Tamandua tetradactyla: one gene and its partner. The protein of the gene in region 2 interacts with the protein of the main gene of each other region in a pairwise test. Links are inferred from orthologs where the notes say so. Each region holds a gene or a part of one and is shown on either strand. Other genes may lie near its edges.

What was found. The genes of interacting proteins can lie anywhere in the genome.
Region 1: the proteins of PNMA5 (region 2) and ZBTB25 interact in binary tests that used the Homo sapiens proteins (3 or more experiments, as listed by UniProt). The two-hybrid records come from large-scale screens. The link is inferred for Tamandua tetradactyla from reciprocal best matches to the Homo sapiens genes PNMA5 and ZBTB25.

The regions. Positions count from the first base shown.
Region 1 is NC_135338.1:21,760,092-21,770,656, forward strand, and holds the start of ZBTB25 (zinc finger and BTB domain-containing protein 25), read right to left. Parts: upstream 4,016-10,565; 5' UTR 4,006-4,015; coding exon 3,953-4,005; exon of another isoform or gene 3,845-3,952; intron 1-3,844. UniProt on the Homo sapiens protein: May be involved in transcriptional regulation.
Region 2 is NC_135353.1:4,735,742-4,745,251, forward strand, and holds the start of PNMA5 (paraneoplastic antigen-like protein 5), read left to right. Parts: upstream 1-5,182; 5' UTR 5,183-5,295; intron 5,296-6,099; exon of another isoform or gene 6,100-6,122; intron 6,123-6,182; exon of another isoform or gene 6,183-6,211; intron 6,212-8,273; exon of another isoform or gene 8,274-8,333; intron 8,334-8,965; exon of another isoform or gene 8,966-9,025; intron 9,026-9,180; 5' UTR 9,181-9,273; coding exon 9,274-9,510.

The sequences.
Region 1 (10,565 bases), on a different chromosome or scaffold from region 2:
AGGTTTGGAGCAGCTAGAAGAAAAAGTGAAAAAATTGTGGAACTGTAACACACACCAAACTTTAAAATCTGTTGTATAACTCCTTGTTAAAATGTACTTGGAAATTTATTGCTTTTTTGTATATGTTATTTTTCACAGTTAAAAAAAAAGAAAAAAGAAATGCTCCCCAAGTGATTCTAATATTTTAACTCAATTAAGAACCTATGCTTCAGAAGAACAAAGGACCAAGGGAGTATTTCATCCTCTAAAATTAGAGAGAAAAAAAGCAATTTCACGAGGGAATGTTCAAGGTGTAAGAACTATATGGACTACATTAAATGATCAAAAATCAACAATGTAATTCTAACTTTAAACTCAAAAATTGGCCAGATTAAGACACAAAAGTGCTCCAAACTAGTTAGGTGGGTGGGTAGGGATGGAGGAAACACCATTTTCAGGGTTTTTTTTTTTCCCCAAGTATTTAGGAAAAAAGAATTATTTACTCTCATATTCCACCAGACCTATTTTCATAATATCTAAAAATTATATCAAAATTCCAAACCAGAAAACACTATTTGAAGTACAACCAGCAGTCATTCTGTGCATCAGCTTTATATTCACTGAGAATGTTAGACAAAAGGGTAAGGAGTAGACTTGGTAGATGATACAGGAAGAGCAGTTATACTTTAAAGGCTTTAACAGAACAGGGCAACATTAGTTTGGGGCCTCCTGCCTCCTGGCTGCCACAGCCAGTCTTCTACATCTCTAACTTTCATCTAATCAACATTATGGGATGCCTGATAAAGCTGTGGCACCAGGCAAACAAGAATGCTAACACTGATGAGTGCAAACTGCTAATGAACCTTAAAAAAAAATCTGAACTCTGTGAAAGAAAGGAAAGGATTATTCTTGGTTCACCAAAAAAAATAGACTACATTTCTGATAGGGAAAACTAAGGCATTCAAAGGACAAGAGAAAGCTGGGGGGAGAAAAAAGAGAGAAAGCTGGAAAACAGCAATGCTAGTATAGACCTAGAATACAGCACAGGCGTGAGTGATTATAACTTCTGTTGAACCAATACTTCCTCAGCTGCGGAACTACAGACATGTTAGTTACCCGCATGGGCTATTAAAACCCTGTGCTTAAAGGGTGTAGAGTTTTCAGAAGGAAGAAAAAGTCAATGCATCATCACTGATTTGTAATCAGAAAAGACACAAATTAGAAATAGCTGGTTAGCATTATACACATTTTCTTCTCCAGACAAGGTGAAATATACTAAACAAAGAATCCTGCTAGTAAAGGAAAAGCAGAGGTGTAAATAAATTCAAAATAAATTCCATCAGTAATCTGAAACAAATGTTTGCTTCAAACACTCTTTTCTCTTACTCTACTCTCCCTAAGCCGGTTCAGTAGCAGTATCTTTCCTATTCTTGAGAGAATAATATTGTTTTTCTTATTACTAATAGCTATTACTATTATATTATTTAAAATTATACAATAGCTACCACTACTATATGCAATGTCTTGCCCTAAGTGCTCTGTGTAAACTGTGTTTGAATCCTCACCTTGATCATATGTTATTTTTTTTTATGTGTTGCTTTTATTTCCACTATACTGATGAGGAAAACAGGCTTATGACACACAACTAGCAAATGGTATAAAGTAGGGATAAAAAAGTCAAGTCCAACTCCATAGCCTGTGCTGTTAACTATTAATATTGCTCTTAACATTGCTCTCTCAGACCTGCTCAAATTAAGTTCTGCTTGCAAAACACTGAAGTTCACATACTATTTGGAGTAAAGAAGCAGAAAGGGAGCACAGGAAGTGGTGGAGTAGTCTTTTATAAATTATCAAGAAAGCAACACCTGCAGTGCTTTCTTCAGACAAGGAAAAGTCTGGCAATAATACTTAAAAAACAAAAACCCAACAATTATTTTCCGGCTCACTTATAGCCGGAAAACAGACAAGTTTTTCTTTAACAAGATGGTTATTTACGGATCATAGTAAATAAATCACTTTGGTTCAGTGGTGGAGACGGCATGATGCAACATTTCCCAGCATAGCTCTCGCCAGGATATTTTATGACCAAGGCACTTGGGCCTCTCCTCTCCAGCTAGACAGCCTGGCTCCTTCTCATTCCCCTCAGGAGATAGGGTGGAAGTGCACAGCTCCACTTTCTAAGGCATACAGGGCAGCTGAAAGTCCTGCTTGGCCTCTCTGGGCAACCACAGGCGCCAATAAATCAGCCACAGGCAATTCTCTCATCCCCTTCCCTGCTTGAAGTGGTGGCAAGATATAATGCAAAAGAGCACTGACTGAACTTAGGAGATAAATGATCAAGCTTGAATTCTAGAGCAAATGACTGCATCATCACAGCCAGGTAAATCTCTTCGAGCCACTAGTTTCGTAATTTATAACATGGACACAGTACCAACACCTTTTTGGTAAAACTCAAAATCACCAGGAAAGCAGCTAGTATGGGAACTGGCCTACTGTAGGTACTGAATAAACAGTGACCCAACCTGAGCAGAATCTTCTTCCAAGTGAGAAATTTGGGGCAGGGCTGGGCAAAAAGGTGTAGCAGGACATGTGGGGCTCCTCCTCCCTCACTTGCTGCCCATCCCTAAGATGTTCCACTGTTTCCTGATTACCTCCCAGCCATTAGAATTAATCTATTCCATGTCCTATACCTCCAGTGTTCTGTTCTCTATTAGGAGCTAATGCTTGGTAATGGATTCATAATTTAGCCTTAACTAAAACATCCAGATTGCTAAAGAGATTTTGATGCCTTAACCTGACCAATATTGCAAATGTTGTTATTCTCACGGAGGTATAGGAGTAAAGTTTTGGCAGGATGGTTTTTCAGCTGGGAAATGCAGCATGGGCAGCCACTATCACCTAAACATAGTGCCAACCCCATTCCATAAAATAGTAGTGCCACCGCATACTAACAAAGCCTGATTTCTCAATAACCTGAACCAAATCAAGCCAAGTGTAATTATCTCTGGCAACTAGTCTCCACAGTGAGTGGGTGAAATTGGCACTGCAGTTCTGGTGTGGTGGAAAAGAGCAATGCCCAAGTCCTGCAATCTATGCTACTGAGAACTGTAGGACCTCCATGCTCTTTAGGCCTGATGTCTTCACCTCTAAAATGAAAGGGCTGAATTGGATTTTCTTTTAGACCCACTAAGCTGAAATACCTGATTCCAAGATGTACTTTATACACTTGACAAAATCCTGTGTAAGAATCAATAGCTCTACCAAAAGGACTTGAATCTCAACAGAATGAACTCCATATTTGACCCCTTGGGGAAAAACAGTCATTAATTTTTTCAATATGTTTTAAGCTGCTGTCAAGTTCAAGGTTCAGCGGTAGGTGCTACATAAGCAGCCTCACCACAGCGTCACCCAGAGGGAAGGCATAGATAGGGTAGGCTTCAAAAAGAAAACTTGGGTTTACTTAGAAGAAGACTAATAAAGTTTGAAAAATGAAAGATCTGAATTATAAGGAACCTTAAAAATTGGATAATCCCAAACTGGAGGGGAGTGTGCACGGGAGGAGCGGAATCCTCGCAGCCTACACCTGGAGACCCGTCCCTTGCAGGAGCCGTAGGCACTGCTCACCGGGGGACCTGCAGGCCCTTCCCGCGAGGGGGGTGCACTGGGGCCCGTGACAGAGAGATCCCTGTGCCTTGGTTGCGACCCCGCGCCTTGTCTATGCCTCCAGGGTCTGCAGGCTGCCCTAGGCAGGTAGCGAGGGTAGGTGCTGGGGCATCCTCGGCCCAGCGCTCACTCGCAACTGTCATTTTCCTCTCCTACTCTGACTGAAGTCTCAGATAAACCAAATACCCTTCTCCCCGCCTACTTGCATCAGTCCCGCGACCGGTCCAGCTGCAGGCCACCGCATCTGGCGGCTCGCGGCGGGAGGGACTGAGACCCAAGCAGGAAACAGAGGCTGGGTCGCGTCGCTTACCCAGACGCCGCCGCGGCGGCAGGCCGACTCCTCCGTACGGGAGGGGCGGGCATCCGCGCCGCGCACAGCACGCGGCGGCGCCGAATCACGCACTTCGCGGGTCGCTCTCGCGCGGCTTTCGGCACCGGCCGCCCCACTATCGTCCCACGTGACCGTGCGCCTGGTACCCGGAGAACGGCGGCCACTGGGGCCAGGGTGTGCGTGCGTGCGTACGTGCGCGCCCGCTGGCCTGAGTGACAGGGCGGGGGTTTGCACGCGCTTCGGACGCTGCTGTTGCCCCCACGGACCCCAGTCCTGACTTTCTAGGCGGAAGTGTGGGAACAAGCCTCAGCGTCACTGGCTCCTACACACAACCGCGTGACCCGGGGACTTTCCCCAGGGCGTGCAAAAGCACAGGCACCCTCTCATTTCTGGGGTGAGGGTGGGGGCTGGGAGGGATGCGCCCGCTCATTCGCTAGGAGAGGGGTTAGGGCAGGGAGCCAGGGAAGCTTAGCCGCGGGAGCCTGGAAGGGGAGGCGTGTTGGGCTGGGTGGGGCATGGCGGGGGAAGTGACTCAGGGCCAGAGGCGGACAGACCCATGGAAGGCAGGGTGGGGGGAGCGCAAAGAGTGGGCGACCCCAAACGGACTTGTCGCGGGAGGGACAGGGCGAGGGTGCCGGCGCCCCCGGAACAACAAGGGCTTATGGCGAGGGAGGGCCGAGCTGCTGGGCCCTATGGTGAAGGCGTTTGACATCTGGAGCAGTAGGAAAGCAGCATCCTGCCCTTGGGGAGTCGGGAGGAGTTCAGTCCCATCCAGCTGTGCAAACAAGAGGAGGTCCCAAGCCTACCCTTGGGAGAGGAGCGAGAGGGGTGGTCAAGCCGCCGCCACCGCGCCGGCCCCCGCGGTGCGGGTTGCGCCAGCCTCCCCGGAGCCCGACGCAGAAACTTGTTGCAACAAACAGGCGACCGCGGCTGCCCCTAGCAGCCAGCGGCGGAGTGGGTGGGCGGGCGAGAGGGAGGGGAAGGCTGGCGGACGCCGCAGCGAACTGGTGGGCAGACCCGGAGTCGCCGCGTAAGCGGGGCCGGCTCAGTGCGGTGCGGCAGGCGCGGCTGTGCGGCAGCGGAAGTCCTTTGTTGCAGCGCAGTCCCTGGCAGAGCCAGAGCCTCTCCGCGCAGCCAAGCCCGAGAGCCGCGCGCCGCCGCCACTGCAGCTCGCGGCCCCTTCGCCTCAGTCCGCCTTTCCCGCAGCTGGTTTGCCTTAAACTCCCTAAAATCTCTGCAGCCCTGGTTGTTGCTGCGGCCGGTGAGTATTTGCCAGTTGTGGGGCTATTTGCGCAACTTTGGATTGGGCCGGAGGGTGACGGCCGCGGGCCTGGAGGGGTGCTGGCCCCGAGCGGCGCCGGCCCTTGCGGGGAACTGGAGCGCGGCGGACGCGCGGTGAAGACCTGGCGAACGGCGGCTGCCGGGCCGCCTGTTCGATCCCGCTGCCCGCCGGTGCGACTGGTCAGGGGCATGCGGCCTTCCTGAGTCCAGTGCGAAGCCCCCGCGGAGACGAGTTCCCAAATTAGTTACCTTCTTTTACCTTTCTTTCTCTGCCTTTATTATTTTTTTTGAGGGGGGAGGGGAAGGGAGAGAAGGGGAGGTATAGACTGGAGGCGGGAGGACCTGGTTTGATTGACGTGCCCAGAGCCCGCTTCTCTGAGTTTACAGCTGCGGCTTCTCGGCGGGTGGGAGGGAAGTGTCCCGGAGCTGGAGGCCGCAGACTTGGGCGCGCTCCGAGGGAGGAGGCGTTAAGAGCTGCGCAGATTGCTCTTTCCCACCCCCTGTCGCCGGCACACACGGTTTTTGTCCAGTACAAAGTCTGGGGGTTGGGAATTTTCAGTGGAAAAGGTATGTTTCCTGGGGAGAAGGTGCTTTCGCTTCAAATGGGGCGGGGGGGGGCACTCACTAGAAGTTCCAAGCGTTTGGTGAATGTCTTGGATGTTTGTCGGAAGTTAACCCTAAAATGTGTAGGCATGAGCATGAGCTCAGCCACTCCTTCTCAGCCTCGCTTTCTACTTAAGCAACGCCTCTACAGGATCTGAAGGGTGGAGGTGACATTTTCCAAATTGGGAACCTCAAGGAGAGGATGATGAAAGTCCTTGATATTTTCAGGGCATGTGTATGTGCGTAATAATTTTAAATTGAGCTACACGCAATTCTCCATTGGTCTAAGTGTATTTCATAGTGTGTAAACCTCAGGAAAATTGTTCCAGAAGAGTTTTTCCCGTTGATACTCGAACCCAAGGAGCCGTCCAAGAACTTTTGAGGCATCTTTGAATCAGTTTCCTAAGCTGAAGTTTAACGCATTCAGGAACAGATTTTGTGAAGGATGCAGTTCTCATGATGACTTGAAAGCAGTCTCCTTTGAAAGGTAGAATTAGATTCTATGCCGTTTTTTGTGCAAATGGATACGATCTAGAGAAGTAGGGAGATCTGGGATGGATACAAAAAGAAGCTTGAATGATGGGTGCCCGTCATTTGCTCAGAACCTCAAGAACCTCACAGTTCTATTTAATCACTTTCTGGATATTAATAAAGTCTCAATAGCAATGACTTTGGGAACTAGATGGGGACTTCCTGTCCTAAACAGACAGCGGAAACTGAAGCGCAGGGAAGTGAAATAAATGCTTTTACAAAGATTAATAAAGTCTGCAGTAGAACCTTTGGTTAACATCTTATAATCTATTTTAAAAGCAGGATTTCTTGAAGACCAGAAGTTCATGGTGTAGAATAATTCAGGTTGAGCAGTCTTCAGATTCCTTTCTATTCTTCCCACCCTTAATATGATGGCCTACTTTTGGGGGGAAAGTGAGGGTACCCTGTGGTGCATCATTGTCAGAGAAAAGAGAAACCATATTTAGCCAGGACCATAGCCAGTGTCTCCCATGTGCCTTGCAGCAGCATCTCCCATTCACTTGTGTGGGAGAAAAGAAGCTGCTGCTTTCAGACTTTTCCCTCCCCAGCCAGAATAAGTGCTAAGCCTTTTCTGTTTAATCTTCTGAACCAAAGAGAAGGAAACCATTGAGTGGTATAAAAGCAGAAAATTTTTCATGGATTTTTATTTTTAAAATATAGCCTATCTTCCAAAACAAGTTGGGGTTTATTTGAGAAGCATCTGCTTGAGAGGTCACTTTCGTCTTTACAGGAGCTGCTTTTTCCTGATATTTTCTTGTGCTAAAATCTTTTAATGTAAAATAGTGATTTATCTTGTTGTTTGTTCATATACTCTTATGTAAACTAAATTAAAATTTATTTTTTTCTCAATGAAAATTTTAAATTATAAAACACATACTTTTAAATCAACCTACACATAAAATACAAAAATGAAACTCATTTTAACCCCTACTCCCCGAATCACTGTTAACAGTCAATTCCTTGTTTAAAAAGAGAGAAGGCAACATTTGATCACCCTGCCTAGGGCTGGCCTGTGGTAATTCATGGGTTTATATTCTCTGTTCACTACTCAGGTTGATGAGAATTGCCTGGTAGAGGAAAAGGGAGTGGTTTGCATTGGGCTTATTTAAAATTGTAGGATTAAAAAACAGACTTGAGAGTTTAAATATAACAGCGCTGCTGCTTTAGGTGTGTCCTCATGAAGTGTTTACTGTACCTCGGCAAGCCAGTTCTCATACTTTTAAATGATGTTAATGTTGCCCAGCCTCTAATAGGTTGATTTACACCAAGCTCATTAAAACAAAACAAAACCATCACATATGTAGACAGTTTTGAAATACATAGTTGGGAAAGGGTGGATGTACTTGCCATGAAAACCACTGCTGAGATATCCCTGTGCTGATAAGGGGAGGTGGGGTTCCTCCTGATCAGGACCAAATGTTGCATGCCAAACATTAAGCAAAGGACATTAGTGGAAAGAAAAATTTAAAAAATAAATATTTTTATTGAGAACTATCCACACACATACAGTCCAACCATATTATACAATCAGTGGCTCACAATATCATCACATAGTTGTGTTTCACTGTCATCATTTTTAGTACATTTACATCACTCCAGAAAAAGAAAGAAAAATTTTTTAAAAAACCTCATACATTCCATACCCTTCCCCCTCCCTCTCGTTGACCCACAGTATTTCAATCTACCCAATTTTTACCCTTTATCTCCCCCATCATTTATTTAGTTTTTAATCCTTACTTTTTTTATTCATCTGTCCATACCCTGGATAAAGGGAGCATCAGACACAAGGGTTTCACAATCACACAGTCACATTGTAAAAGCTATATAGTTATACAGTATTCTTCAAGAATGAAGTCTACTAGAACACAGTTAGTTCAACAGTTTCAGGTACTTCCTTCTAGCCTCTCCAATACACCATAAACTAAAAAGGGATATCTATATAGTGCTTAAGAATAACCTCCAGGATAATCTGACTATTTGAAATCTCTCAGCCAGAGACTTCATTTTGTCTCATTTCTCTCTTCCCTCTTTTGGTCAAGGTTTTCTTATTTCCATGATGCTGGGTCCTGGCTCATCCCCAGGAGTCAGGTCCCCATTGTCAGGGAAATTCACACCCCTGTGGGTCATGTCCCATGTAAGGGGGGAGGGCAGTGAGTTCATCTGCCAAGTTGGCTTAAAGAGAGAGGCCACATCTGAGCAACAGAAGAGGGGTGGGGGGATGGAGCCATGACTCTTAGGCATAATTATCAATAGACTTAGCCTCTCTTTCGCAGGAATAAGCTTCATAGGGGCAAGCCCCAAGATTGAGGGCTCAGTCTATGGGATTGGTTGTCCCTCTGTGAGCATATCAGGAATTCCCCAAATGGGGAATTTGAATATTTCCTCCTTTCTCCCAGTCCACCAAGGGGACTTTGCAAATACCTTTTTATTCAGAAAGAAGATTAATGACTACTGTTTAAGATGTGGCATGGAAGGGACTGATACTAGGGAGGGAGAGGAAGGGATCCAGATCTGTATGCCACTCATGTTTGTCATCTTGACATGTATTTAAGATATACTTCTAAGCGCGTTTATATTTTAGTATATAAGTGTATAGTCATTTATAAATTACAAGAGATCCTAGTCAAAATATAGAATGACTTATTTCTTAGCGGTGTATTCAAGACAAATGAGCTGTGAAGAAGTTGATGATATTCTGAAAACAAAGCCTTAAAACAGTACATAGAAATCTAATCACAACATTGGTTATTTCGGGGGTGTTGAGGACATGTGTGTTTTATTTTACACTACTCTTTGAATTTAAAATTGTTTATCAAAATAAAATTTGAAAGTTAAAGAATGAAATCACCAACCAGATTATCTATTAGTTGTCTATGTGAGATGCATACTTCTTAGAGATAAATGAAGAGCTCTGTCCTACTTTAAATCTTTAGTATTAGGGAATTGAATGCTGTGGGTGGACAGTGATAATTAGCAGACGGAAAGGGAAGATGGTGAAAGGAATAGACATTCTTTCTACAAGATGGGGTAGTATGAGAATGATGAGAGCTTTCAGATTCATGAAGAAGGATAACTGTAGGAGGCTTAGAATGTTCAGAAGGGACAGTTCAGTGGGTTGTCATTCATATCCATAAAGAGTGTTGACTCGTTTATAAAAACTACAGAGTTTGAATCTCAGCTTTTCTTACAAGATCAACAATCCTGGTCAAATCAGCCTCGGAGCCTCAGTTTTCTCTATCGCAAAATGAGGATAATTAAAATAACCTGATAGGATTAGTGTGAGTTTGTTGTATATGCTTTGTAGATTTTTGGCCACAATATAAAAGTTACCATGATTGAAATAATGCAAAGTTGGTAAGCAAATTAAAACTTAGCGGGCGGGCCGCGGTGGCTCAGCGGGCAAAGTGCTTGCCTGCTATGCCGGAGGACCTCGGTTCGATTCCCGGCCCCAGCCCATGTAACGAAAACGGAGAAACAAAATACAATAAAACAAGAAAATGTTTAAAAGATGTTTCCCTTTCTTCCTCTCTTCCTTCCTTCTATCCTTCCTTCCTTCTCTCTGTCTTTCCTTTAAAAAAAAAAAAAAAAAAAAAAAAAAAACTTAGCTACTTCAACATTTATTCACTCAAAAAACTGATAAAAATAACAACTATCAGGCAACTGTTAAAGGTTCAGGGAATCTGGTGATGACTAAGATAATGCTTTGATCTCAGGTAGCTTACAGTAAAGCAGGGAAGCCAAATAATGTGATGAGATATAGCATCCCAGTTTGGATGATACATTATATATCACCCTATACTTGTATGTATGAACTGTTCTGGAAGCAAAGAAAAGGGGCATCCTCTCTGCCTTACCATGAAGACGAGAAAGCATTTCCCCGAGGGAGGGAGTGGACATTGAAAAGGTTTTAAGTAAAGAAAAAGGCATGTGTGAAGGCTTTTATTGTGTTAGGTGCTTTTGGATGACAAGAAAGCCACTTTTAAATAGATGTAAGGCTTAAAAATGGAGTTGTTAAGCTTCTTAGAAGGAACGCTTTACGATATTTTTATTGGTTGCAATTTCATTGAATTTTTATTAGATAAGAGTGAAGTTTTCAAAATTTTGGTTAGAATTAAACAATTGAGAAAACACTAGGGCCACAGAATAGGAAACAATACAATTAAAGTGTGTGGGATCT
Region 2 (9,510 bases):
CATTCCAAGGCAACTCATCCATTCCCTGTTCAGCATACATTTATTGAGTCCCTGAAAAGTGCTGGGACACAGAGGAGCAAGACAGACACAGCCCAGGCTCTCTGGGAGCACCTGTCTAGTGAGGAGAAAGACGTGGGAACAAGCCCATCTGCTAGTACCTGCCATACGAGTCCGGGGAAGAGTCACGCACTTGGGATTCACAGGGTTACGGAACAAGTGATCTCTGAGCTGAAACCCCAAGGATGAGGAAGAGTTGCTGGTTCATCCATTGAATCATTTCGATATTTCCTGAGCACCTACTGTGGGCCCCGCGCTATCCTAGGTTCGATGCCACTCTTCAAGATAAGGGTGGGAGGCAGGCAATAAATGCACACGCAGCTCATTCCCCTCCTCCCCATTTCCCCGTCCTCCGGAGCCTGGTCCTGCCAGGCTTTCACCTGCACCACGTTGCTAGACCCGATGGTCGAGCCTCAGCCCCGTCTCCTCACTCCAGCAGCAGCATTTGGCAGAACTGATGGCTCCTCCGCTAGGCTTCCAACACTGTCCTGCCTTCCCTGCCGCACACATCCGGAAGCTGCGCGTTTCTCACTGTCTCCTCTTGCCTAAATGATCAGAGTGACCCACCCTGTCTTCTTGCCTCTGTCCTCGTGCCCCATACCCAAGCTATTTCGGCATGGCCACCGGAGTGCATGGTTTCGACTCAAGTCGGATCGCACCCCTCTTTTGCTCCAAATCTTCTCCTGGGCTCCATTTTCCCTGGAGTCCAAGTCCAAGCCCTCCCTGTCTGCTCCGGCACCTGTCACCTCTCTGAGTCCCACCCCTCCTCCCCCAATCCCCCCGCCCCCCCCCTCCATTCTAGGCATCCTCCTGCCTCAGGGCATTGCATTGTTCTCCCCTCTGCCTGAAGATGCCCACCGGGCTGGCTCCCTGAGGCCCCCTGGACCACTCTGTGCAGAATTGCACCCACTCCTCAGCTCTCCTTAGACCCCTTTTAGCTTCCTCTGTTCACATGGCCATCTTGTTCATGGTTTGTCTTTCCCTACTCAAATGCAACCTCTGCATGGGATTTTTTTTTTTTATTAATTAAAAAAAGAATTAACAAAACAATTAGAAATCATTCCAATCTACATGTACAATCAGTAATTCTTCTGCATGGGATTTTTGTTATTTGGCTCACGCCTCTTTCCCACGTCAGTACCTGGCATTATGCCCGGCATCAAGCAGGCACTTGATAAATGCTGCTGACAAAAATAAGTGAGATCATTTATGACCATGACGGGCTGGAGCTGTGCCGTTTTGCCCTGGCTGCCATGTGCCCCACGAGGCAGTTGAAACGTAAGCATAAATGAGTTAGAATCCAATTTAACAATTCAGTGCCTCATTGCACTCCCCACGTTTCAAGCGCTTGGTGGCCACGTGAGGCTGGCAGCTACCCTATGGGACAGTTCATCTGCATCCTTGCAGAAAGCTCTGTCAGGCAGCACAGAGCGAGAGAGCAGCTGCATTGGTGACTTTAGATGAGAGGGGGAGGAATCTCAGGTGAGGAAATTTGTCCTGAAGGCAGAATGATGAGAAGCAGCCACTGGTACAGGGACCTGGAGGGAAGAGGTTTCCAGGCAGAGGGACCAGTCGGTGCCATGCCTAGTGGGGCTGAGTCCTGGGGGCCACCAAGCAGAGGAGCAGCTGGAAACCCCAAAGAGAGGAAGGACCAGTGAAGGAGGAGGGGAGCCGCAAGAATCTGGCATCCCAGGAGCCGTGGGAAGAATGCGCATGAGGAAGGAAGGAAGGAAAGGCCCTTGGCTGGTAGAGTTCACTGGTCTTCCCCCACCGAAGGGCAGCGGGTGTGATGGAGCAGCCTTTGAAGACTCAGTTGGGATGCTAAAGGGATGGCCAGCCTTTGGGGCAGGGTGGAGTACTGCCCACTGGTTTTGGCAGATGCCAGAATGGCTGGGTCCAGAAACTGAGGGGCAGAAGTGGGAGTGGCTCCGTTCAGTATTGTGTTCCTGGTCCACTAACAAAATATTTGTTTCCCATCCCTGCAATTTGGGGCTCTGCTGGTCCGGCAGACTTAGTTTCCAAGGGAGGAATGCTTCCACCAGGGGACCCTGCGCCGGTCCCACTGAATGGGAAGTTAAGGCAGCCACAGCCAGCTGGGTGAGGACAGGGGTCCTTGGAAGGTTCGCAGAAGGAGGAAATTCTAAAGATTGGCTACACCTCAGGGCCAGCTGCAGAAATAAGAGCTAGAGAAGCTCTGTGCATTTTGTCACGCTTTTGAGTATCTTAACTCCTTTGTTCCTTCTTACTTTCCTTTTCTAATCCCGTGGTTAATTTATCTTGGTGGTAATTGACCTCACAATTGGGCCAGAGAATGAGAATTTGCCTAATGGGACCTCGGACTCCCCCTTTTCTGGAGAGAGGGTGAGGGTGTGTTCACCTACCTGAGGGCTGGTCACGCCCCGCCGAGCGGAGGCATAATGTCACCGTGGTCATCACCTGGGAGATGAATGTGGGTGGGAGAATGTGACGGATGCTGAGCGGGAAGGGAGGGCTGGCTGGCTTGGCTTTCTCAGCTCTGCTCGTCCCTGCCCTTTTGTGTAAAGCAGAGGCCTGGGAACCTCAGGTCCCAGGTTCCTTCACCACACTGGCTCTGCGTTCCCTTCCCCAGGGAGAGGCATTCATGCCACATTGGGACAGCAGCGAAGCCCTCATTTTCTGGTAGCACGCTAGTATGGGGCATCCAAAGAAATCACACGCAGACTTTTCCAGCAGCTTCCCGGCAACCTCCTGGCAATCAGCCCTGACAGTCCTGCAGGTAGCTGGGACCATTGCATCTTGGGGCCTGGGAACCACTTATTTACTTTCGGATTTCCCCAAAGCCTGCAACAGCCTCCCTGCCCCTCAGTCCCCCCGGCCTGGTAGGGATTGTGGAAGTCACTGATTATCTGAGCCCTTCCTGCTCGAAAGTGGCCCTACCTCCCTGGCACCTGCCTCTAAGTCTGTCAGTGCTGCTTCACCCAGCTCGTCCATGCTGTCCAGCACACATCTGCTAGGGAAGGAGTCCCCTGCTGAGTGCTCTGTCTGTGAACACCTCCTGCCTGCACCCTGCACACCTCCTGGCTTTGGACTCCCTCTGCGAAGGCCTTCTGTGGACCCCTTCTTCATGCCACACTTTTCCCAGGGCGGCTGGTGCTATTTCCACCCCTGGGGAGACCTTCAGCTCCCACATGTGCCTGGGAATGCATACATCTCTGCTCTAAAGCTTCCTCCGGCTACTGGAGCTCACTCCCTGTGAGAGCCTGGACACCAGGCCTTTCCTGAGAATACTCTTTGTACATTTATGTTTTAATAGCTTTACTGGGGTTATAATTGGCACACAATAAACCACGTCTCAAGTGCACGCTTGGATGAGTTTTGGCATCCGTGAAACCATCACTGCAATTAAGAGTGAGCACATCTGTCACCCCCCAAACTTTCTGGGTACCCCTTTGTGATACCCCTGCCTTCCCGTCCCTGTCCCTATCTCTGCATTCTCCGATCTGGTTTCTTGTCACTGCAGATCAGTTTGCATTTTCAAGAGTTCTACACAAGTGGAATCACACGGTATGCATCCATTTGGGGTAATGGAGACATTTCTTGGTCTTGACTGGGGTGGTGCCCAGACTCTAAACTTAAAATGGATGTGTTTTACTGCCTATTAATTATCCTTGATAAATTGCTTTTTAAAAGGAAGGAAGAGTTATGAAGTTAACACCCCAGCCATTGTGAGGGGAAGTACAGGTCTGGCAGGCAGAACTAGCAGTGTCCACGAGGCCAGTGGGAGTCAGGACACTGGACAGTGATCTGAGAATCCGCCCACCGCCCCGGGTAAAACAACCCCCCCCCCCGAATAAAACATCCCAACGGGAGTGTAACACCCCAGCAGCACCAGTTAGCCTTGTTTGCTCCTCCAGCCAAGGAGACTGATTGAACAAATCTGCCTATTCTTAGGAGGTAAGGCACACTGAGGGAGTCTTCTGCAGTTAAAGGGGAATATGCTGTGCACTGCAAACATCTCACTCAGTGACTTTTTATTGAAATTTGCTTTGTTTTTAGGATTTTTTTTTTTATAGAACAATCATGAAACCGTCTGGGGGTGTTTTTTTTTCTTTTGTGTGTGTGTACCTTTAGCAAATAAGGGTAAAGAAATCTACTATGTCACCAAAGGGTCACATCATCTGGCCCTGAAAAGTAAAAACAGGCTTTTAGAGCCTCACGACCCAAGGCATGGTCAGGCACCTGCAGCATCGGAGTCAAGGAACTTTCCAGAACACCCCTCCCCCACCACGCCTCTGCCTCAGAGCAAACCTCTTCAGTCTGGAGAAAACGTTCCTTTAAGAAAGGGCGAGAATTCATTTGGGTCTAGCTGGGTAATACTTGGTCCTGAAAGCGAGAGAAAAACGAGGATTAGGAGTCTTTTGATAGTTTTCTATTTCGGGGTGGGGCGGATCCCCGTTTCTCGCCATGCCTCACCTCCCCCCCAAAGCACGCCCACCCCACCCCGCCTAAAGGCAAAAAAGGCGCCAAGCCTTGCTTTCCCTCTGCGCCCGGCCGCAATATGGAAATGAGGAGGGCGTGGGTGGCTGTCGCGCCACAGTGTCCGGCCAATGGGGAGCGGCACCTGCCCTCGGGTCCCGCAATGGCTGCTGGGGCTCGCGGGACACGTGGCTTGGCGGGCTCCTAGGGGCCGACCGCATGGGGTGGGGTAGGGGGGTGGGGTGGGGTGGGGTAGGGGGGTGGGGTGGGGCGGGGTGGGGGTAGGGGGGTGGGGTAGCGGGGTGGGGGTAGGGGGGTGGGGTAGCGGGGTGGGGGTAGGGGGGTGGGGTAGCGGGGTGGGGGTAGGGGGGTGGGGGTGGGGTGGGGTAGGGGGGTGGGGTGGGGTGGGGGTGGGGTGGGGTAGGGGGGTGGGGGTGGGGTGGGGATGGACTGGCGGGGGACAGGCCGGCCGGCACTGTGAGCTGCTGGCGGGGGGGGGTGGGGGGTGGGGGCACCACGTGGCCCAGGCTGGCTTCTGGGTGGGCTGCCGTGCGGGGTGGGGGGGTAGAGGGGTGACAGGGCGGGACTTCGGTTCCCCCACCCCCACCTCGAGGCGTGCAGGCTTCAGGGCGCAGCCGCGAGCGGGCCGTGTGCAGCTCCGCGGGGGGCCATCACGCGGCTCCCCTTAACACTCCACCCACTGGCGGCCCACACTGCACTGCGGCGGCGGACGAGAGGTGGCGGCGGCCCGCGGGGGCTCCGCTCCTCAGGCGTCTCCGACGGGTAAGGTGCGGGTCCCCCGGTGTCCTGGCGGCCCTGTGGTCGCAAGGGAAACCCTATTCCCCGTCCCATATTCGCCTTCCGTCCCCACCGGGCATCCCCGGGGCGGGTGACCGCAGGGTCCCCAGGCAGCGGGTTCCCGCTAAGATGGGCCCGCACCCTGACAGCGCGCAGCATGCGCGGGCCTCGGCCGCCCTGGGTGTTCCTGGACCTCGGGCCACCCCGAACCTGCCCCGAGCCCCCTCGCGGGCAGGCCAGGGCGCCCGGGTCTCTCTCCGCCCGGTGTCCGCCAACCTGCACGTGGGGAGACGGTCCTCGGGGGACGGGGTTGCTGGGCCCCAGGGTGGGCGTGAAGGGGGTGGGGGTGGGGGAGCGAGTGTGGGAGAGAACCTGGGGTGGGAGGTGGTGGACGCTGTGGCAGGGGCCTGAGTGAGGGGCTGCACGCATGGGGGGAGGTCGCGGGGGTGCAGGGGTGGGCTCCTGGGCGCGAGAGCGTGAGAGTGGGGCTACATGGCAAGGGCGAGACCGTGAAGAGGGAGGGTGCGCGTGGAGTCGACATCGTGGAGGCGGTGGGGTGGGCCCCGCGCGACAGAGGGCGAGAAGGATGGGGGCAAGACCGTGAGGCGGCGACTCAGTGCGTGGGGTAGGCGGGGGCGAGAGGGGGCGGGGGCGAGAGGGGGGCGGTGCGCTGGCAGCGGGGCGTGCGGAGGCGGGAGGGGGCGTGCGGATGTGGGGGCAGGACGCGGCGGAGGCGGGCCGACAGTGAGCTGGGCGGGGTTACGTCGAGGGGAGATCGCAAAGGTTACAGGGTGCGGGGGCGAGAGCGCGAGGTGTGGGGGCGAGTACACGGGCGTAAGACCGTGAGGTGGGAGGGTGCGCGGGTGGGGGCAGATGGCGGCGGTTGGGGGATGGCACGAGGGTGAGAGTGTAATGGGGGAGGGTGCGCGGGTGGGGGCAGATGGCGGCGGTTGGTGGATGGCACGAGGGTGAGAGTGTAATGGGGGAGGGTGCGCGGGTGGCGGCAGGTGGCGGTGTTTGGGAGATGGGCGCGGGGGTGAGAGCGTGAGCTGGGTGGGGCACGTGGAGGCGGGATCGCGGAAGTGAGGATGCGGGCGCCTGGGTGAGTGAGGTGAGGGGCTGAGTGGTCAGCGACAAGAGTGTGAGGTGGGAGGGTGTGCGGGTGGGGGCATCATGGAGGTGGAGGATGGGTGCCCGGGTGAGAGCGTGAGCTGGGTGAAGTACATTGAGGAAAGATTGCGGGGGTGAGAGTGCAAGGTATGGGGGCGAGTATATGTGTGTAAGAACGTGAGGTGAGAGGGTTTGCGGGTGGCGGCAGATGGCGGCTGGCGGTTGGGGGAATGGGCGCGGGGGCGAGCGTGGTGGGGGAGGGTGCGCGGGTGGCGGCACATGGCGGCGATTGGGGGATGGGTGCGTGGGTGGCGGCAGATGGCGGCGGTTGGGGGGTGGGTGCGGGGGCGAGAGTATGAGCTGTGCAGGGCACGTCTAGGCAGAATCGCGGAGGTAAGGGTGTGGGCGCGGGGGTGAGAGTGCAAGGTGAGGGGCCGAGTGCACAGGGGAAGCCCATGAGGTGGGAGGGTGCACATGTGGGTGCATCAAGGAAGCGGACGGTGGGTGCAAGGGTGAGAGCTTGCGCTGGGTGAGGTACATGATGAAAGATTGTGGAGGTGAGGGAGTGTGCACGTGGGTGAGAGTGCAAGGTGTGGGGGCGAGTACACGGGCGTAAGACCGTGATGGGGGAGGCTGCGCGGGTGGCGGCACATGGCGGTGGTTGGGGGATGGGTGTGGGGGTGAGCGCGCGATGGGGGAGGGTGCACGGGTGGCGGCAGATGGCGGCGGTTGGGGGATGGGCGTGGGGGCGAGAGTATAAGCTGTGCAGGGCACATCGATGAAAGATTGCGGAGGTGAGGGAGTGTGCACATGGGTGAGAGTGCAAAGTGTAGGGGCGAGTACATGGGTGTAAGACCGTGATGGGGGAGGCTGCGCGGGTGGCGGCAGATAGCGGCGGTTGGGGGGGTGGGAGCGTGAGCTGGGCGGGGGGCATCGAGGAGGATCGCGGGGGTGAAAGTGTAAGGGGTGGGGGTTAGTGCATGGGGCAAGACGGAGACGCGGCAGATCGGGCGGTTGGGGGATGGGCACGGAGATGAGAGAATGCGCTGGGCGGGAGCATCAAAGCAGGATCGCGGAGGTGAGGGAGTGGGTGCAGGGGGTGAGAACGGAGGTGAGGGGGCGAGTGCACAGGGTTAAGACCCTGAGGTGGGAGGGTGTGGAGGTAGGGAGATGGGTATAGGGGAGACAGAGTGAGGTGGGACTGGGCAGTTCCTGGGGAGATCAGGAAGGTTAAAGGGTGAATGTGGGGGTGAGAGCAGGAGGTCATGGGGCGAACCAGGAGGCATGGGGAACGCGCGTGGGGGTAGATTGTGCAGGTGGGGGATGGGCGCAGGGGCGACAGCGTCAGCTGGGGTGGGGGTGGGGGTGGGGTGTCAAGTTGAGATCCCCGAGGTTTGAGAGTAGGTGTGGGGATGAGAGGGTGAACGCACCAGGGCAAGATCATTAGGTGGGAGGGTTCGGAGTGTAGGCAGATAGCTAGGGGAGGGAGTAGGCAGAGGGGTGAGACTGTGAGGTGGGAAGGGGGCACTTGGGGGTGAGATGGGGGAGGTGAGCAGGTGGGCGAGCAGGAGCATGAGGGGCATTTGCGCATGGAATCAGAGTGTTGGGAGTATGAGCAATTGTGGTCCGAGGTGTATGAGGGGTGGGTGCCGGGGTGAGGGTAGAGGGCATGGTGGATGTGGCCATAGCCTCACTTAGGAGCCTGTTGGTGCCAGCAGCAGCGCCCAATTGAGGAGTTTCTTGTACCCTGGGTCTTGTATCCAGGGTCTTGGTGGATGTCTTGGCACACGGGGATCAGCACGGTGGCATCTGGGCAGAGGCAGAGTAAAGCAGCTCTGCATTGTTATCCACAGCTCCTGTGCGGCAGGACCCACTGCCCCTGGCCAGGAACTGCTTGACTGGACAGAACTAGGGTACGAGCAGGGTGCTAGGTGCTGGGTGCTGGGCCCTATTGGACCTCCTGGGAGGAGGGTGAGGACCTGCGATGTGGCCTCTATCTGGAGGGGCTTGTGTTGGCTCTGGTCACAACTAGGCTGAGGGCTGTGAAGCACTGGGCACCCTGTCTGGGCTTCTTTTCTTCCTCTGACCACAGCTTCCACACCATCTGAAACCGTCAGCTCTGGTGTTTTTTTAGGGCACAGTCCTCGCCCAGCTCACCCCCCTGCAGCAGCCCACTGGTTGATAGAGTGCTCCAAGGCCGGTAGCATCGCTTGTTGTTCCTCAGAGGCCTTGAGCCGACCACCAGACCCTTCTGCAATGGAAACTCAGGGTCTACGTAGTTCCCCGTAGCCATGGCAACACTGCAGCCTCTCATCCCCTCTCGCAGCTCACAGCGCAGCGCTCCGGCCATCTTTTTCATCTGCTGGGCGTTTCCTGAGGGAGTGGGGGGGCTGCATCTGCTTCCTCCAGCCTTGCCTAGGCCACTTGGGCCGCAGTGGCACCCAGCCCAGGAGAGGGGCATTTTCCTGCCCTCATCTGCTTAGAAGGCTCTGCCAGCGGCCTTGGGTGGCAGGCCACGCCTCCTTATACTGACCTTTCCGGGCAGGCAGTGGTAGCTCTCCAGCAGAGTCCCTGGACTTGGAGGAGGAGCCCACAGCAGCAGCAGGTCGGCAGGGAGGGGTGGGGTGGGGGCAGATTTGCCTGGGGAGATCTCTCCACACAGTGACTGCAGGAGCTCTGCAAGTGTGGGGGGCCTGAGTCCATGTGGGGGGCCAGGGTGGGGCTGGGAGTTTCACAGTGCTCTCACCCCTTTGCGTTTAGGCTGTGGAATCCTGGGACAGTTCTGCCCTCGTGAGTCCTGGCACAGGCTCATTCCTGCTCCTGTGTTAGAGCAGCCCTGAGGAAGCGGGAGCAATGGCAGTGACCCTGCTAGAGGACTGGAGCAAGGGGATGGACCTGGACCCCAAGAAGGCTCTGCTGATTGTGGGGATCCCCCTGGACTGTAGTGAGTCCGAGATTAAGGAGACGCTGCAGGCAGGCTTACAGCCGCTGTGCTCATACACAGTGCTGGGGAGAATGTTCCGAAGGGAAGACAACGCTAAAGCCGTTTTTGTAGAATTGACTGACACCATCAACTACGCCCTGATACCC